Cricetulus griseus: one gene and its partners. The protein of the gene in region 1 interacts with the protein of each later gene in a biochemical or structural test. Links are inferred from orthologs where the notes say so. Each region holds a gene or a part of one and is shown in the gene's direction. Other genes may lie near its edges.

Region 1 (3,948 bases):
TTATGATCTGTTGAAAACAAGTGCTGAGAAAACCATCTGTTTCCTACACACATAGCTTGGATTAGTGCCTGGCAGGTCTTTCTCAGTAGATGAAATGGAGGTCATTTCATTAAAGAAGGTTTGGGGGAGAGTTGGCTTAATTTGCATGGCTTATCTAATATAGTATCAATATTAGAAAAAAATGACCTAAGGAACCTTTTCACTCATGGTGCTGTTTGTGATATGGTTATTATTGCTACCATCATAGCTAATGATACTGTTAAATCATACTTAATAAATATCACATACACACTTATGTCATACAAGACATCTATCTGTGTGGGTTTCCCATCTTTTTTGTTTTGTTTTGTTTTGGTTTTGGTTTTTCAAGACAGGGTTTCTCTGTGGCTTTGGAGGCTGTCCTGGAACTAGCTCTTGTAGACCAGGCTGGTCTCGAACTCAGAGATTGCCTGCCTCTGCCTCCCGAGTGCTGGGATTAAAGGCATGCACCACCACCACCACCCGGCTGGTTTCCCATCTTAACCAGAGAAAAATTGTTCTTGTTAAACATAAGTATAATTTATATTTTTATTTGATAAAATAATACCATAAGTATATATGACAAATATTACCACTAGTTAGTTTAAAAAGCAAATCACTGATACATCATTATTAATTCATTATCTAACTTGAATATTGGGGTTTGTTTGTTTAAGATAAAGTCTCACTCTCTAGCCCTAGCTGGCCTAGAACTCATTGAGATCTGCCTGCCTCTGCCCCCCAAATGCTGGAATTAAAGGTGTGTGCCACCATACCTAATTTGTTCCTTAATTTCCACAGTAGGTCAGCAACTATCTATATTGGGGATATAATAAAAATTTTTGGCCTATGGGTATAGGTAATTTTAAATCAAGGTAGTTTTATAAAGCACATTTATATATCCTGAAATACATTTTTTTTTTTCTTTTTGATTTTTTGAGACAGGGTTTTTCTGTGGCTTTAGAGGCTGTCCTGGAACTAGCTCTTGTAGTCCAGGCTGATCTCGAACTCACAGAGATCCACCTGCCTCTGCCTCCCGAGTGCTGGGATTAAAGGTGTGCGCCACCACCGCCCAGCCCCTGAAATACATTTTTAAAACTGTGAGTTTTTTTTTTTTTTTAACTGATGCCATTTAGACTTCAGGTGTTTTGTTTTGTTTTTTCCTACCTGTGTGTGTTCCATTTTTGCTTTCTCATAATGCTGCCTAAATATTTTTATGCAATTTGAGTTGGGGCTATTATTCAGTGGTGGGGTACTTGCCTACCAAGTGTGAGGTCCTAGTTTTATCACTAAAACTGTGTGAGTGTGTGTGTGTGTGTGTGTGTGTGTGTGTGTGTGTGTGTGTGTGTGTGTGTGTGTGTGTTACAATTGAGTCTGGCTGAAATTAACATTACAAAAAATAAAAATAAAAGAGATTTTCAAAGATAACAAAGTCTCAGGAAAAGTTTGTCACAAAAGAACAAAAGATACTCAGTGTCCTCCCAGCATCACTATCGCCTCTTGACCGTGAGGCTTTAGTAGTTAGCAAGATTTTAAATCATTTTTCTAAGTGGCTACGAAATAAAGTGGAATTTAGTTTCCTGTTTTCAAAGTGCATGTAGAATAGATTTCTTTCCTGATAAGTGAAGGTATAGATAGCAAATTAAGTAATGTATATGGTACCTACCCACTTGCAAACACACAGGCACCATTTGGTTTTTGTCTTATAGCATGGAGCAGATCCAACTAAGAAGAACAGAGATGGAAATACACCCCTAGATCTTGTCAAAGAAGGAGACACAGATATTCAGGACTTACTGAGGGGGGATGCTGCCCTGTTGGATGCTGCCAAGAAGGGCTGCCTGGCCAGAGTGCAGAAGCTTTGTACTCCAGAGAATATCAACTGCAGAGACACCCAGGGCAGAAACTCAACTCCTCTACACCTGGCAGGTAAGCATCACTGTGCATCATCTAATTGTCCTTTTTAATGTTCAGTTAAACACTGCTAAACTGTTTGCTAGGTGCTTAACCACTTGGCTTGCAAGGTGAAAGAGGATTGGTGATATAGCCCAGCAAGTAAAGTTGCATGCCACCAAGCTTCACACCTCAAGTTCAATTCCCTGATTTCACGTGATCTACTGAGAATCAACTGCAGATTGTCCTAAGACCTCCAAACTCATGCTTGATGTCTGCAATGCCTGTGAAAGAGATTGGTATATGTTGTACCCTTTAGTAAAGACTCAATTATATGAAGATAGTATTAGCCTTAAAGAAAAAAATTAAAATCTTAAATTTTTCTGGTCTTTATTTGTATGTGTGTGTGAACTGTATTTATTTCTCTGGACCTGACATGTCCCTTTTTACTCTAATAGCAGGCTACAATAACCTGGAAGTAGCTGAATACCTTCTAGAGCATGGAGCTGATGTTAATGCCCAGGACAAAGGAGGCTTAATCCCACTTCACAATGCAGCATCTTATGGGGTGAGCATGTTTCAGTGAACATCTAGAAGCCTTCCCTGGCATTTAATAATTTACTAAATATGTACTACATGGTAAGGAGCAGGTTTCTAACCAGCAGCATAGTTGAGTGCATTTTAACCATCTATGTAAGGTTTGTCGCACCTCCCCATGTAACTTCTTTTTTGATGAACACCCATACTTTTGAAAGTTCTCTGTCTCTTTGCATATTACCTGACACAGTAATTAGTATGGAATGGATCATAAATAAATCTTACCTCTACCCCAGATAGATTTTAGAAATTTTGGTAATTGCTTACATTTATCTCTAGAATCCTAAAAGTGTCAAGCCAAGTAGTTAAGCAATTTGCACACAGTTTAATAGTGTTCAACTGAGGGAGTGAATGTGCAAAGCCATCTTTCCCGTCATGTAACTATATTCACCAGGAAGAGGACGGCACTACAGTGCCTTGATGCCATTGTCAGAACTAGCAGTGACCAAGATGCTCAGGCCTGATGCTTCTCAGTAGAAATAAGTCAGACATGAACAATGTTTCCATGCTTGTCTGCTGTCACACATCTCCCTCTTGGCTATGAAATTCCCAGATAGCAGTTCATGTATACCACGTTCTTAGATGATGTAGTGGCTCCCACTGTTCATTTTCATACAGACCTACTCTCTAGGTATCCACAGCCCTGCTTTCCTTTTCCTACTTGTTTTTTTGTTGTTACACTGCATTATCAAATCCTGGGGTTGAGCTCAGTCTGCTCTTTGCTTTGCATCTGCATTTTTTAAAAAGCTACCTCAATTTTCTCAAATGGAAAAACAAATACATGTTTTAAAATCTTAAAGAAAAGTTACAAGTTTCATGAGAATTTTTGTTTATGATAATGTACCTTATTCAATTTAGTATCCTTTATATTATGTTAGGTATTATTTCTTAATTTGTACATACAAAGGGCAGTTAATTTCTGTGCTATTAATAAATTAAAAGTATTGGTATTTATTCCTTACCCAAATCATGTGATTTTATGAGTAAATCATTTGGCTGATTGGTTTTTTTTCTCCACTTTCTCATTTTGCAGTGATTATATTTGAAAGTTTCATGCCATCATTGTTGTAGAGACAACATAAAGTTAAATGGCGTTAGCTGTAGCCCCTATTTTTCTTCTGTTTCCCGTCTTTTAAAATTGAGTCCCCTTGTCTTTATGCTGTGTTTGTCACTCGCAGCATTTTATGATGCATATGGAATGCTGAAGCCTCATCCAGCTGCCTTTCTACAGGACACTTTGAGGCAGAGTCAGCCCCTTGTCTCGGCTTCTCACTTAGTCCTTTGCTGTTACAGGAGACCAGAACAACGGTGCAGCTTCCTTGTGCATTTAGCCCTCATTTTCAGTTGCTGTTGTTTGTCCTAGTTCCTACCTAAAAAGAATTGAAAACCTAAGAATTGTGTTTCAACTCTACTTGGGTAATACTCCTTCCTCTTCATTGG
Region 2 (3,948 bases), on another chromosome or scaffold:
AGGGAGGAAGATGGCTTCAGAGGATGATCTGGGCTCTGCAGAGGCTATCAAAGTACAGGTGTTGAGAAACTTTCCAGGTCAGGGCAAGGAGCTACTTGTTCCAAGATGGCCGTGTGTTGTGCCCAGGTGTGTTCTGGAAAGCCCAGGATCTGTGAGGCTGGGGATAAAGAGTTAAGGTATGAAGATGAGATGAGAGTGGAGGCAGATGGGCTGACTCTTGGCTTATCCCAGGAAGTGTGACTATCTAGGCACATGTTCCTGAATGGGGCTTGAACCGCAGTAACTTAGAGCAGCAGTAATATGTGTGATTTCTGGGATGTCCTGAGTGCTGGGCGCTATGCTGACAGGTGACAGTCTTTATTTTTTCCTTCCCTAGTGACTCCGTAGAGAAACACAGGGTATTTACAGTGCAAGGATATAAGTACAGGCATCTATCCTAACCCAAAGATCTGAAACCCAAAATGTGAAACTCTAAAAAAATTTTCTTTGGATTTACTTATTTATTTATTTGGGTTTTTTGTTTGTTTGTTTTTCCCAAGACAAGGTTGCTCTTTGTAGTCCTGGCTGTCTTGAAACTCACAGAGATCTGTCTGCCTCTGCCTCATGAGTGTTGGGATCAAAGGCATTCGCTAAAACTGCCTAGCAGATTTACTTATCTTTTTGTTTTATGTGTATGGGTGGTTTGTTTGTGTTTTATGTGTATGGGTGGTTTGTTTGCATGTATTGCTGGGTACCATGTGCATGCAGTGTCTGTAGAAGTCAGAAGAGGGTGTTAGATTCCCTGGAACTAGAATTAGCTGTCCTGTGGGGTCTGGGAATTGAACATGGGTTCTCTGGAAGACCATTCAGTCCTCTTAGCCACTGAGTCATCTCTCCAGTTCCGTCAAATCTGAAAGTTTTTGAGCACAGCATGATATCACACAGAAATTCATATCTGGCCCCAGTGGCAGGTCACAAAGTACAGGTAAACCAAAATTACCATCAAATTACCTTAAGTCTACATGTGTAAGGTAAATATGAGACACAGAGATTTTTGTTTAGGTTTTGTTATCCACATAGCTCCTTATGGGGCTGGAGAGAGAGCTCTGTCAGTAAAGTGTTTACAGATCTGAGTTTGGTCCCTGGAACCCAATAGGAAAGCTTCATGTGGTAGTGTGCACACTTGTAATCACAGTGCTGGGGAGGCAAAGACAGAAAGGTTTCTGGGACTTCCTGGCTTGCCATCCTAGCCTGCTTGATGGAAGTTCCAGGCCAGTGAAAGATCCTATCAATAGAAAAAGGGAGCTGGGCAGGTAAAAGTGTTTACTGTCAATGTGTGACTATCCAAGTCTGATCTTTTGTAGAAGAAGAGAACTGACTCCCAGAAGTTGTCCTTGGACACACACACACACACACACACACACACACACACTGGTGTGCACATGTGTGCACTGGGAATGGTGTCTGAGGTTGTTCATTTCACTACACATACTCCTATGCATCGACACACAAATAGAGCTCATTTTTTATGCATGTGCAAATATTTCAAAACTTGGAAAGGTCTAAAATTTGAAACCGGACCCAAGCATTTAGATAAAGGACACCCAGCTTGTAGTATGTGAGAAAGCCTAGCTTGTGACCTCCCAAGCAGCCAAGCAGACTCAGCCCTTGCTTTGTGTGCTGTGTGCTTCAGGGAAGAGAAATGAGGTCTCACTGGTTGGTGAATGACTTTGATTTCTGGCCTGTCCCCTTTGCAGCCCCAGCAGGTGCTTGGCTCGCTCCCCACCTTCTGGCTCCCAGAGCCTTCTGGAAGGGATAATGACAGCCAGTAGCTCAAAGACAACTACTCCAAGGGAATCATCAGCTTCAGGCCTCAGGGTTCTGTTGGAGGAGGAAGGAACCACTGCAGGTGCTGGCCAAAGGGAGCCCGAGGAGTCTAGCAGAGACCCTTTGCCTTCCTCGAGGCCTCAGCCCGATGGTGAAGCCAGCCAGGTAGAAGAGGTGGATGGCACCTGGACTCTTCCAGGGGGAGCTAGGCAAGATGAGCAGGGGTCAGCTCTGCCCCCCCAGCGGCCTCCCAGAGGACCTCTGCCCAGCTGCCCCAGTGAGGACTTCTCCTTCATAGAGGTCAGTGGAGGGTGACTTGCGGTGGTGGATGAGCTTTTGGAGGAGTCAGGATATGTGGATGATGGGGTCAAAGCCCCATTCTCAGCGCTTTTCTGAACAGTCATGGGACACAGGCTGCGGGTGCCTCATGGCAATAAGAAACTGCAGTAGCCATCAGCTCCTCAGTGTTGAGGGGCTCCTGTGGGGTGAAGCAGGGCATGGCTCAGCAATAGTAAATGGTGTTGGTGGTTTTTTTTTTTTGAGCAGGACACTGAGATCCTTGATAGTGCTATGTATCGGAGTCGTGCCAACCTAGGGCGTAAGCGGGGACACCGGGCCCCAGCCATACGGCCTGGGGGTACCCTGGGTCTGTCAGAGACAGCAGACTCGGATACTCGGCTGTTCCAAGATTCAACAGGTATGATCAGTGTATTAATTGAATGGAGTCTGTCAATGTCTGGTTGTGGGTAAGGGTGGTTTCTGGCATATTGTTGAAGTTGTGATACCCTCCCCTTGACATTTGCAGAGCCGAGGACTTCTCGGGTGCCATCTTCAGATGAGGAGGTAGTGGAGGAGCCTCAGAGCCGCCGGACACGGATGTCCTTGGGCACCAAAGGGCTGAAAGTCAACCTCTTTCCTGGCCTGAGCCCATCAGCCTTGAAGGTACAATCTGATCATTCAATATACACAATCAGCCATCTGGCCTGCCAGCCTTGCACCCAGCATTGCTTTCTATCTGTCTGTCCTCCATCTGTTTTGTCCATCTGTCTGTCTGTCCATCCATCTACCCACCCAGCATTTCTGTCTGTCTGTCCATCTCTCTGTCCATCCACCCACCCATCTGTCCATCTATCTGTCATCCATCCGTCCATCCATCTATCCATCTGTCCCTTCTTCCATCTCTTCTTATTGTGCTAAGGAGGATTCTGGAAGGTTCCGTTTGTTCCCTGCTCAACTTTGTTCAGTGTGCCAAGTTTTTTGGAAGAAAAAACAGGATGTTCTTTCATCTCATAGCCTCCACCATATTAGTTAGGGGTTGGGGGTGGGTGGGCATGGTCCATGCCCATGAGTGTCTCTGGTGAAGAGAGATGTGTAGGTATAAATGGGGGGAGTTCAGCCATGGGCTGGGCTGTTTGGTTGAAGAAGTTATTTCCTGACTGTAGCTGGGAATGGGAGGTGGCTTGGGCAGGGTTTCTTGTAAGCCATTTCTCTTAGCCTTGAGGTTGGCACAGGAGTTGGCTCTGGGGTGGGAAGGACATTGCCTGCAGAAAGGATAGACAGGCAAAAGCATAGGTGTGGGAAGTTATCACTCTTTGTTCAGCCTAGTTTATGGAATTTTATTCCTCCAATATCTTTCTGATGTTCAAGGTATGAGGATCAGCTCTGAGGGAGGCAGACCTTTGACTTTCTATTGATAGAGGGGTTCCGGCCTGGTTCTGGGGGCTGCATCCTCTTGGTAAAGGCCTGGCCTGTGTATCTTACTGCCTGTTCATCTTTCATCTGCATCTCCCAGGCTAAGCTGCGCTCCCGGAATCGCTCAGCTGAGGAGGGGGAGGTGACAGAGAGCAAATCAAGCCAGAAGGAGTCCTCCGTCCAGCGTTCTAAGTCCTGCAAGGTCCCAGGGCTAGGGAAGCCCCTCACATTACCCCCCAAGCCAGAAAAATCCTCAGGGTAAGTCACTGAGTTCCAGGTATCCCCTGAACTTCAGGTATTATCCTGAGAGTAGGAAACCCACTTTGGAGAAGTAGAAAACTGAGGCTGTGAGAGGAAGTCGAGCTGCCTCACATTAATTAGGGGTTCCAGGCCTGCAACAGCCAGTTTCTTTAAACTTTGCTTTTGTGACCTTTGCACTCTGCCTTCCAG
Region 3 (3,948 bases), on another chromosome or scaffold:
AGGAGAAGAGAGCCAACAAGCTGCCCTCCAAGCAGAGGTAGGCTCATGTGGTATGGGTGACCTTATATGGCCTTAAGGCCTGAAGAAGGCCCTAGGGGGAAGACAGCCATTCTGGGTAGCCCTGCTGCAGGACAGAGGGCTATGCCATTAAATGTTCTCACCAGCACGTGGCCAGATGGCCAACAGCTTTTGGGCATGCCCGGCCTATTGGTAGATATCCTGGCCATTTCTGATGACAGCCATATAAAGCACAGCCACAGGGAGATGATAGACAACTCTGAAGCACAGGCAGTTATAGGAGTGACCACAACTCCAACCACTCTCCCTGTCTTCTCAACCTCAAGAACATCAACATCAGCTCCTTCACCACCACAGTTCAGCAAGCTTATTCTGTCCTTGCCCAAACTCAAAAGACCTCTCTTTAGGAAGCAGTATTCTTGGAGGCAGAAAAGGCCTTCTCTGACCCTTTTATTTTGGCTTTGAATCACTTGCCTGGACATTCTGGCTTATTGGAATTCCCAAGTGGGTAATAGTCTCCATGAGGGCTTAGGATCTGTTTCTTACCCAGTCCCTGGAACCATGGTCACACAAAGGCCATTATTGCCCTTTGAAACTATCACCTCCTTTATTCAGCTTGGGTTGTGTACATTCTGGGGTCTGACCTCACTTCTAAGAGTCCTCTTTCCCTGGGATGCTACAACTCTTGACTGGCAGACTCTGCACTTATGGTCTCTAATAGAGTCAGGCTGTAATTGCCCCAGGAGCTTAGACATCTTCCTGGTCACTTAAAGTCTCCTGGACCCACACCAGGCTCTGAGCTCCAAAAGAAGTCACAGCTGCCTTAAATACAAGGGACCACTTTGCCACCTGTTGTAAGCTATGGTATACACTTGTGCTACCTGTTCTGTGCAGGAAGTGTTCCTTCTGGTGCTGACACATTGCATGTATCTGGCAAGGGTCTGAGTCAGTGGAGTAGGGTGTCATGTGGGATCTTCTAGGAATGATGCCCTCAGAGGCCTGGGCAGGGTGTGCTCAGAAGCCAGTGTTCCTAGGATGCAGGATTATTTTGTGGAGTAGGGTATTTTGGGAGTTAGGATTCTCTTGTGATGCAGAGGTTGCATCTGTTCATCCTACCATTACCTGGCAAACCCCATATGGCAACAGCTGTGGTTTTCTCCTGGCCTGTAGCATCAGCTAAACCCTTCTTGTTTGTGTTTTGGGGTATGAGAATACCATCACCACACACATACACCCCATACCATCAACACACACACACACACACACACCACGTCTTAGCTGGTGCCCCCACACACACACACACACACACCACGTCTTAGCTGGTGCCTCCAAAATCTTCATGTGTGAAGAAATTGAATGTATTGAGTCTATTTGTCTGGAACTTTATAAGCAAGTCTAGATGTATGCAGTGAAAGGCCCAGGCCTTGGCAGGCCCTGTTAAACTATATCAGATAAAGTCACTATTAGGGACAATAGTGGCATACCCAGGTAGAGGGTTCTCTTGGAAAGGCTCTGTCATGCTGGCAGCAGCTCCCCAAGAAACAGTGTCACTGCTTCTGTCCATGTCTAGTATCCACATCATCTTCAGGAGGTCATGATGAATCTGTGTAGAAAGAGCCACATTCCTGGGAGGTGTCTTGGAAGGCCTTCTCCAAGAACCTCTAGCTGGAGAAGTCATCTGAGCAGGAGGTGAAGAGAGCCTGTAGCACCAAGACCAGCCGTTCTCCAGGGTGTATTCCAAAGAGCAGACTGGCATTGACCCTGTGTCTAGACACTTAGGGCAGGGCCTCTGATGATATGTGAGTGGGAGTTGTTGGCAGCTAGTTCCTGCTGCTCACCCTATCTGGGCACACTGTCCACAACACTGGCTGAGCCCCATCTTCTTTGATGCGGGTTGTTCCCTAGGTATGTGCAGGCAGTCATGCAGCGGGGACGCACCTGTGTCAGGCCAGCATGTGCACCGGTGCTGAGTGTGGTACCAGCCGTGTCGGACTTGGAACTCTCCGAGACAGAGTACGTGCGCCCTGTGGGTCCTCCTGGTTCTGCCCAGCCCAGGCCAAATCCCAAAGTGGAGCACCTATTTGATAGGCTTTGTCACTGAGCTAGGAAGCATCAGGGCTGGAGAAAGGCCTGCTGTGGCTTCTCTCTCATGTCTCCCAATAGAGGAGATCATGCCTGTTCAGTGTAGACATGATCAGTAGGCCTATAAGTGGTTCATGCAGGCATCACAGCTTGCCTTTCATCTCATCTTTATTCTCCTGAGCTTCTGAGCTAGCTCTGGGGACTGGTGGGTCCACTACCATTCTACACAGGATCAGGTCCACATTTCTAGTCCCCTTGAAATAGCACTAGGAACTTGCGGCAACTTTATAGTAGCATCTGGATGGTGTGACTACAGCCAGGACTTAGGCTCTGCACCTCCGCCTGCCATAGCCACATTTAGGTCAGGGGCATTTCTGACTATGCCCTTCCTGCTCTTACTCAAGACAGGAAGATGAGGATCCCCCTTGGGCCTTGGGGCCTCTGCAGATGGCCCTCCAGTTGTTCTGGAGAAGTAGGTCTCCCCAGGTTTAACCGCCAGAAAGCTTCAAAAGCCCATTGCTGGAAGAAGGTCTGAAAACCTGGAAAATTACACATCCAGAATGCCCCGTGTATTTTACTTGGCCAAGAAAAAGCAGCCATGTGGCCATGGTTGAGGCCAGCTATGGAAGCTTCTGGAGTGATTAAAAAGTACAGGAATACAGGAGCAGACTCAGAGCAGCTACACAGCCCTTTGAGGACCTGAGTAAGAAACAGCTCAGGCCTCCAATCTGCTTTGGAAATCCTGGTCCTAGGGACACTTCCTTTCCAGATCTGTGCAGCTCTGATTGGTCCCTCCTCAAGACTTATGGAAGTTTGGAGAGGTTGGGACTTGTCAGTGTTTTGAGACCAGCCCCCTTACAACTTTGGAGATAGGACTTTGTGAGCCGAAGGCCTGGTCTGGTTATTGTGGGTATCTGTGTCCACTTTACGTGGTCTGGATGGTGAAGTGCTTCTTTTAGAGCTAGACCTCTAGCTTATTTTCTAGTGAGTGGTTTACACAGGACTGGCACCCAGATTTTGGGTAGGTGGGTGGCTGGGCCTGTGAACACCACATTGCTGAGTGAGATGCTGACCCTGGGATGTCTTGTCCTCTATTGGTAGATGGTACCTTTGAGGTACTCTGTGTGACCTTGGCCTGAGCCCACTACTTACCACTCTGTTTCTGTCCCAGGACAAAATCACAGAGAAAGGCAGGTGGCGGGAGTGCACCCCCATGTGACAGCATTGTTGTGGCCTACTATTTCTGTGGGGAACCCATCCCCTACCGGACCCTGGTGAGGGGCCGTGCTGTCACGCTGGGCCAGTTCAAGGAGCTGCTAACCAAGAAGGGGAGCTACAGGTGAGAGGAGAAGCTGCAGCCATAGGGCATACTTGCCCAGCATGCAATTTGGTTTTCTGTTCCACTGCTCTTTTCTCTTCCCCTTCACCCTACTTCCCTCAGCCATGGCTGCTGCTTTCTGCTCTTATTTGGGGCACATCAGGGTTGGATAGCATCAGGACTGGCCCTCTTTTCTAGCCGCAGACCTCTCTCTCACTCCTTGTCAGCCAGCTCAAAAACTCCAGTAGTAAGGTTACTGATACCTGAGTGACATGGGAGCCTGTCAGCCCTCCTGGTGTCAGCCCATGTGGATGGCAGAGCTGGGGACCCAAGACCTCTGCTCTTCCTGATTCAGAAGGCTATCAGCAACCTCCATACCCACCAGAAGCCAGGATTGGGATTCCCAGGGGTTTTATAGCAATTTTCAACATACTGTTAACTCAGCCCTTTCAGTGGTCCCAGTTCTACCCCAAGTGTGGCCACTGCCCAACAGGCAACAGCCAAGATCCCAGCTCACTGGCTGGGACAAG
Region 4 (4,422 bases), on another chromosome or scaffold:
AGAGAGAGAGAGAGAGAGAGAGAGAGAGAGAGAGAGAGAGAGAGAGAGGGCGCATGCGCACGCGCTTCCCTAAAGAAGCACACGTATATGGAAGATGCTGTGAACTGATTGGCTGACTAAACTTTGTAATAGTGGTATAGGAAAATGCTGCAAACAAGAGCCAAATATTTGTTCCGCCCCCACATAGTCGCCATTTACTCTTAATCCCTGTATCATCTGAATTAACATCTTTCTGACTGGAATACAACGTTGAAACCTAGCTGGCCAGTAGCTTCCTTTTTTATTCCCCGTACCCAGTGTGGTACTGGGGATTGGATCCAGATGCTCAAGCATGATAGGCAAACACCCTACCACTAGATACCTAGTTCGTTTTCAATTATAAAACCAACGTTATAGCACCGAAACCTAAACAATATGCTCTGTCACAGTCGCCCAGCTACCCGATGGACTACCCCTACCAAAATATTTGATAATACATTGACGTATAATCTTCCCTTTTTGTGGCTATACAAAGTTCATGTAATAATATTTCCTAGAACAACAGACTGAGTAGCCCGAATCCATGCTCGGGATTCAGTTACTCATGGCTGTCTCCACATGAATTCTTCCTCCTTTCCCTTAAGAGCAGAGGCTGTGCTTTGTAGCTATCATATAAGCACCCGAAACATTTACAGTCCTGGCATTGAGACAGTTAATAAACCTCAAAATGCAACATTGTTGCAAGCACAATGCAACAGTTACAGGAGGCGGAAATACTTTCAAAGGTGACGAGGCCCCGCTAATCCACCTAGTTTAACTACAACTTGAGAAAACTCACTCAGCTCTGTAAAAGACCATGTGTGGGTAAAAACGAACGACTAGATTTTGATGTTTAAAACTGTATGCTTGCCATCAAATGAATCGGCAAAACTTACTCTAGATTCTTAAGTCGATTGATTTCCTCTTCTAGCTTCCTAGGCTGTTAGGGTACAAAAGACTTGTTGAGACCCCCAACACGTCCCCTCCCCCATTAAATTTCCTAGCCATTTGTGAGTGAATAAACTGGAGCATTCCAGGGGACCATCCAGTCCACGCCGAGTCTTTGCAGATGTCTTCTTGATAAGGAACAAGCAGTTAAGGACACTTCAATTGGAAACTTAGGGCTTGGCCCAAGGGCTTCTTGGGGTCAGAAGGCTGGATTTCAGGAGAGCTCCTCTTCCTGGTCCCGGATGTCTAGCTCCCTCGCTCAGTGCTCTCTGGTGGCACCCCACAGTGTCAGAGCCAGGTGGTGATAAGGTGCACAAAGAGCATGGGAGGGATCGCGGCCAGAGAGCCGCCCCGCCGCGGGGAAGGGCAAGAGAGGTCTGCAGGCAGAGCGTGCACCGCCCGCCCGCCAGCCTCCGGCGCCGCGCGCGCGCTCGCCGTGGGGGCGTGGCTTCCGTCGGCGCGGCCCCGCCCCCTCGAGCGCCGGGCGTCACGTGGCGGCCGCGCGCGTCCCCGTCCGCTGCGGGCTCCGAAGCGGAGGAGAAGAGGCTGCGAGGTGGCTGCGGCGGCGGCCGAGAGGTGGGCACCGGCGGGACCGGTGGGGAGCGCGTGTGTCCGAGGGCTGCGGGGCCTCGGCGGGTGGCGCTGCGACCGCGCTGGCTGCGGGGCGGCGCCTGGAGTGGCGGCGAGCGGCGGCGGGTCGGGGCCGGTAGGACAGGGACGCCCTTGGCCAGCGCGGCCCGGACGGGCGCGCGGAGGGAGGCGAGCTGGCGCAGCCCGGAGCGTGACGGGCGCGGCCCCGGCCATTACTACGCAGGCCGGGCTGCGGGCAGCGCCGCGGGGCTCGGCCGGGCTGCGGGCAGCCACGGGCTGCATTCTGTCTGCCGTCTGCGGTGCTGCTGCTGCTGCTGCTGCTGTGCTGTGCTGTGCTGTGCTGTGCTGCTAGCCTGCCCAGCGCCCGGAGCCGTCCCTCCTCCTCGCGCTGGCGGAAGCCGCCGAGTGTTCTTGTTTTGATGGCTCCCAAAACCTGAAACCACCCCGAGGTGTCGGAATACGCGTCGGGGCCTCCCTACCCGGGTGCATCCGAAGATCCCCGTTTCGTTTGTCGCTTTGTTCTGGTTGCTGGGTGTGGAGTTCTCTCCCTTGCCCTCCACCCCATCTAGGAGTGCACGGGATCCTCATTGTTCTGGCTGTCTTATTTTCCTGAGCGGTGTTGTTTTTATTATTATTTTTTTCTTCTTCTTTTTTTTTTTTTTTTCTTTTAAGAGAGAAAGGCATGGTTACGTTGTTTTTGAGGATATGGAAATGGAATCGTCCTCTACTTAGGTAAGAGATTCCGGACTGTGAGTTAGCACACGCATTCTGACAGCTATATTTTGTCTTTTCTCCGGGTGCTGTTTAAGCACTTCTCAAGTTTTCAACATTTTGGGGTTTTTGTTTTGTTTTTGTTGTTTGTTTGTTTTTTAACAGTACCGAAATACTTGACAAGAACTTAGGGAAGAAGAAAGTCAAAGGAGATAGAAAAGGCTTTGTTCATTGATTGACATTTCAGGTGCTAGGGTGTGTTCACCCCCTCCCGCCGTGTGTTTGTGTGTGTGTGTGTGTGTGTGTGTGTGTGTCTGCCTTCCTTGTTTTGTAAACGGGATGTGCACCTGGAACTTGGCTATTGAAAGTTGTATATTGTCATCGAATTTGAGCATGTAGAACATTTCAGTAAATGACCTATATTAGACTTTTTAAAGGACATGGCATATTGAAAACAAATGAAGGAAATGACCCATACAAACTAGCAGCAAAGCTCCTGGGTGCTGTGAAAACACATGAAAATAGGTCACTTAAATCTCATTTTTAAAGAGAAAACTCGAGAGTGACTGCCACACTAAAGGAGTTTGGGATGTGTTTGGGTCTTGGATATGATACAGTGGAACACTTGGGTTTATGTCTCAAATGGGCCTATGTAATGTGGGCAGAATGAAAACCCTTGTGCTTAAATGTTTGAAGATTTCTGTTTTGCTGGTGAAGAACTGAGTAGAGTTGTAATCATGGGAAAACATCCCAAATAGCTGGTCATTAGATAAGAGGAATGCAAAAAAAAAAAAAAAAAATTCTTTTGGGAGACTCGTCAAGTGATAAGAGTCACTTTTGCATTGTTTTCTTTTTTGTTTTTAAAGGATTCAAGATAATTCCTTGACCTGAAAAAACATAATAGGAAGAACTTTTTCATATTCATCTGTTTACGACACATTTTCTGTTAGCCATATATGTGCTTGACGGATTTAACCAGTTGTTACTGATTCTTACAAATATTTTCCTGCAAGAATTAGAGGTAGAAGGTACTGAGTCTTTTTTCTGTCCTCTTGCCCAGTTGGGTTCTTGATAACAGAGGGAATTTGTGGAACTGTTGGCCGGATTAGAAACAGTCTTTCTGAGGATAGACACTATGTCTACACTGGTGTACAGCCTCCTTTGCTAATTTGTACTCTCTCATTCACCTTAGTTAATTAATACAAAGCCTGTTGTTAAAGGCCTCTTAATTAAAACATTTAAAATTGTAGAATCACAGAGGAGAGGGTGAAGCAACAAATACGTAGTGATGACTTGACCAAGGTCTCACATCTTAATTAATAAGAGGACTTTGTTATTTACATAATGGTTGCTGGCCATGAAACCTGATTGATGAGATTAAAGTGTCTGTTGACATTCATATTTCCTGAGTTATTGAAGTAAATGCAAAACCCACTTCGAAGGGAAGAAATTTGAAGATTTACACCTAAATATGAAGACTGTGAAGGCAGTCGGTAGTCATAGGATGATATTGTTTACATTTAACTGAAATTGAGTTTTGACAGAACACTTGTTTCCAATTCGACTTAGCCCTTTTTTTGAAAGCTGATGTGATGAAGTACAAAAGTTACATGCCTGTGAATTTGGGAATCTTTTTTAAGAAATTTCAAGATGTGTGTGTTAAATCCCACCTGACCTCTGCTCTCTTTTCCTGTGTTTATAATAGATACACATGTAGGTAAACTTGTATACAGAGGGAGGTTTGAAGTAGTACCCCATCATTGACACCTTTTTTATACAATATATCCTGTTTTGTGTATTTTGAATAAAGAGTAAACTGTTTCTTTAATTCTTTAAATAGGGAAAACAGAAAGTGTTCAAGCATATATAATTTGATATTTATGTTTTTAATTATGTTTTATATATTCTTGTTTTTCTTTTATTTTTTAAAGGTCAATATTTTATTCAAGTCGGTTATCTAGGGACAGTGGACTTTTAAAAAGTGTAAATGACTTGATAAATGGAATTGCTATTAATCCTAAATCTTTACATCAGGAATTAACAGTGTATCCAAGTAATTGCAGTTTGAATTTCTTTAGTAGTTACACTTTTTAAGTAATAAAATGTGGCTTTATTTTTAAAGTTTTTAAAAATTAACTGGGTTAATTGATAAAG

What was found.
Region 2: the proteins of Tnks (region 1) and Tnks1bp1 form a complex in vitro, tested with the Homo sapiens proteins (2 studies listed by BioGRID). The link is inferred for Cricetulus griseus from reciprocal best matches to the Homo sapiens genes TNKS and TNKS1BP1.
Region 3: the proteins of Tnks (region 1) and Axin1 form a complex in vitro, tested with the Homo sapiens proteins (2 studies listed by BioGRID). The link is inferred for Cricetulus griseus from reciprocal best matches to the Homo sapiens genes TNKS and AXIN1.
Region 4: the proteins of Tnks (region 1) and Rnf146 form a complex in vitro, tested with the Homo sapiens proteins (3 studies listed by BioGRID and IntAct, with this or other methods). The link is inferred for Cricetulus griseus from reciprocal best matches to the Homo sapiens genes TNKS and RNF146.

The regions. Positions count from the first base shown.
Region 1 is NW_023276807.1:50,048,077-50,052,024, forward strand, and holds part of Tnks (poly [ADP-ribose] polymerase tankyrase-1), read left to right. Parts: intron 1-1,727; coding exon 1,728-1,947; intron 1,948-2,369; coding exon 2,370-2,479; intron 2,480-3,948.
Region 2 is NC_048599.1:90,465,172-90,469,119, reverse strand, and holds part of Tnks1bp1 (182 kDa tankyrase-1-binding protein), read left to right. Parts: intron 1-1,736; coding exon 1,737-2,106; intron 2,107-2,352; coding exon 2,353-2,503; intron 2,504-2,611; coding exon 2,612-2,748; intron 2,749-3,598; coding exon 3,599-3,756; intron 3,757-3,948.
Region 3 is NC_048600.1:45,818,172-45,822,119, forward strand, and holds part of Axin1 (axin-1), read left to right. Parts: coding exon 1-37; intron 38-1,923; coding exon 1,924-2,031; intron 2,032-3,271; coding exon 3,272-3,439; intron 3,440-3,948. UniProt on the Homo sapiens protein: Component of the beta-catenin destruction complex required for regulating CTNNB1 levels through phosphorylation and ubiquitination, and modulating Wnt-signaling.
Region 4 is NC_048595.1:247,899,852-247,904,273, reverse strand, and holds the start of Rnf146 (E3 ubiquitin-protein ligase RNF146), read left to right. Parts: upstream 1-1,433; 5' UTR 1,434-1,542; intron 1,543-2,229; exon of another isoform or gene 2,230-2,289; intron 2,290-4,422. UniProt on the Homo sapiens protein: E3 ubiquitin-protein ligase that specifically binds poly-ADP-ribosylated (PARsylated) proteins and mediates their ubiquitination and subsequent degradation. May regulate many important biological processes, such as cell survival and DNA damage response.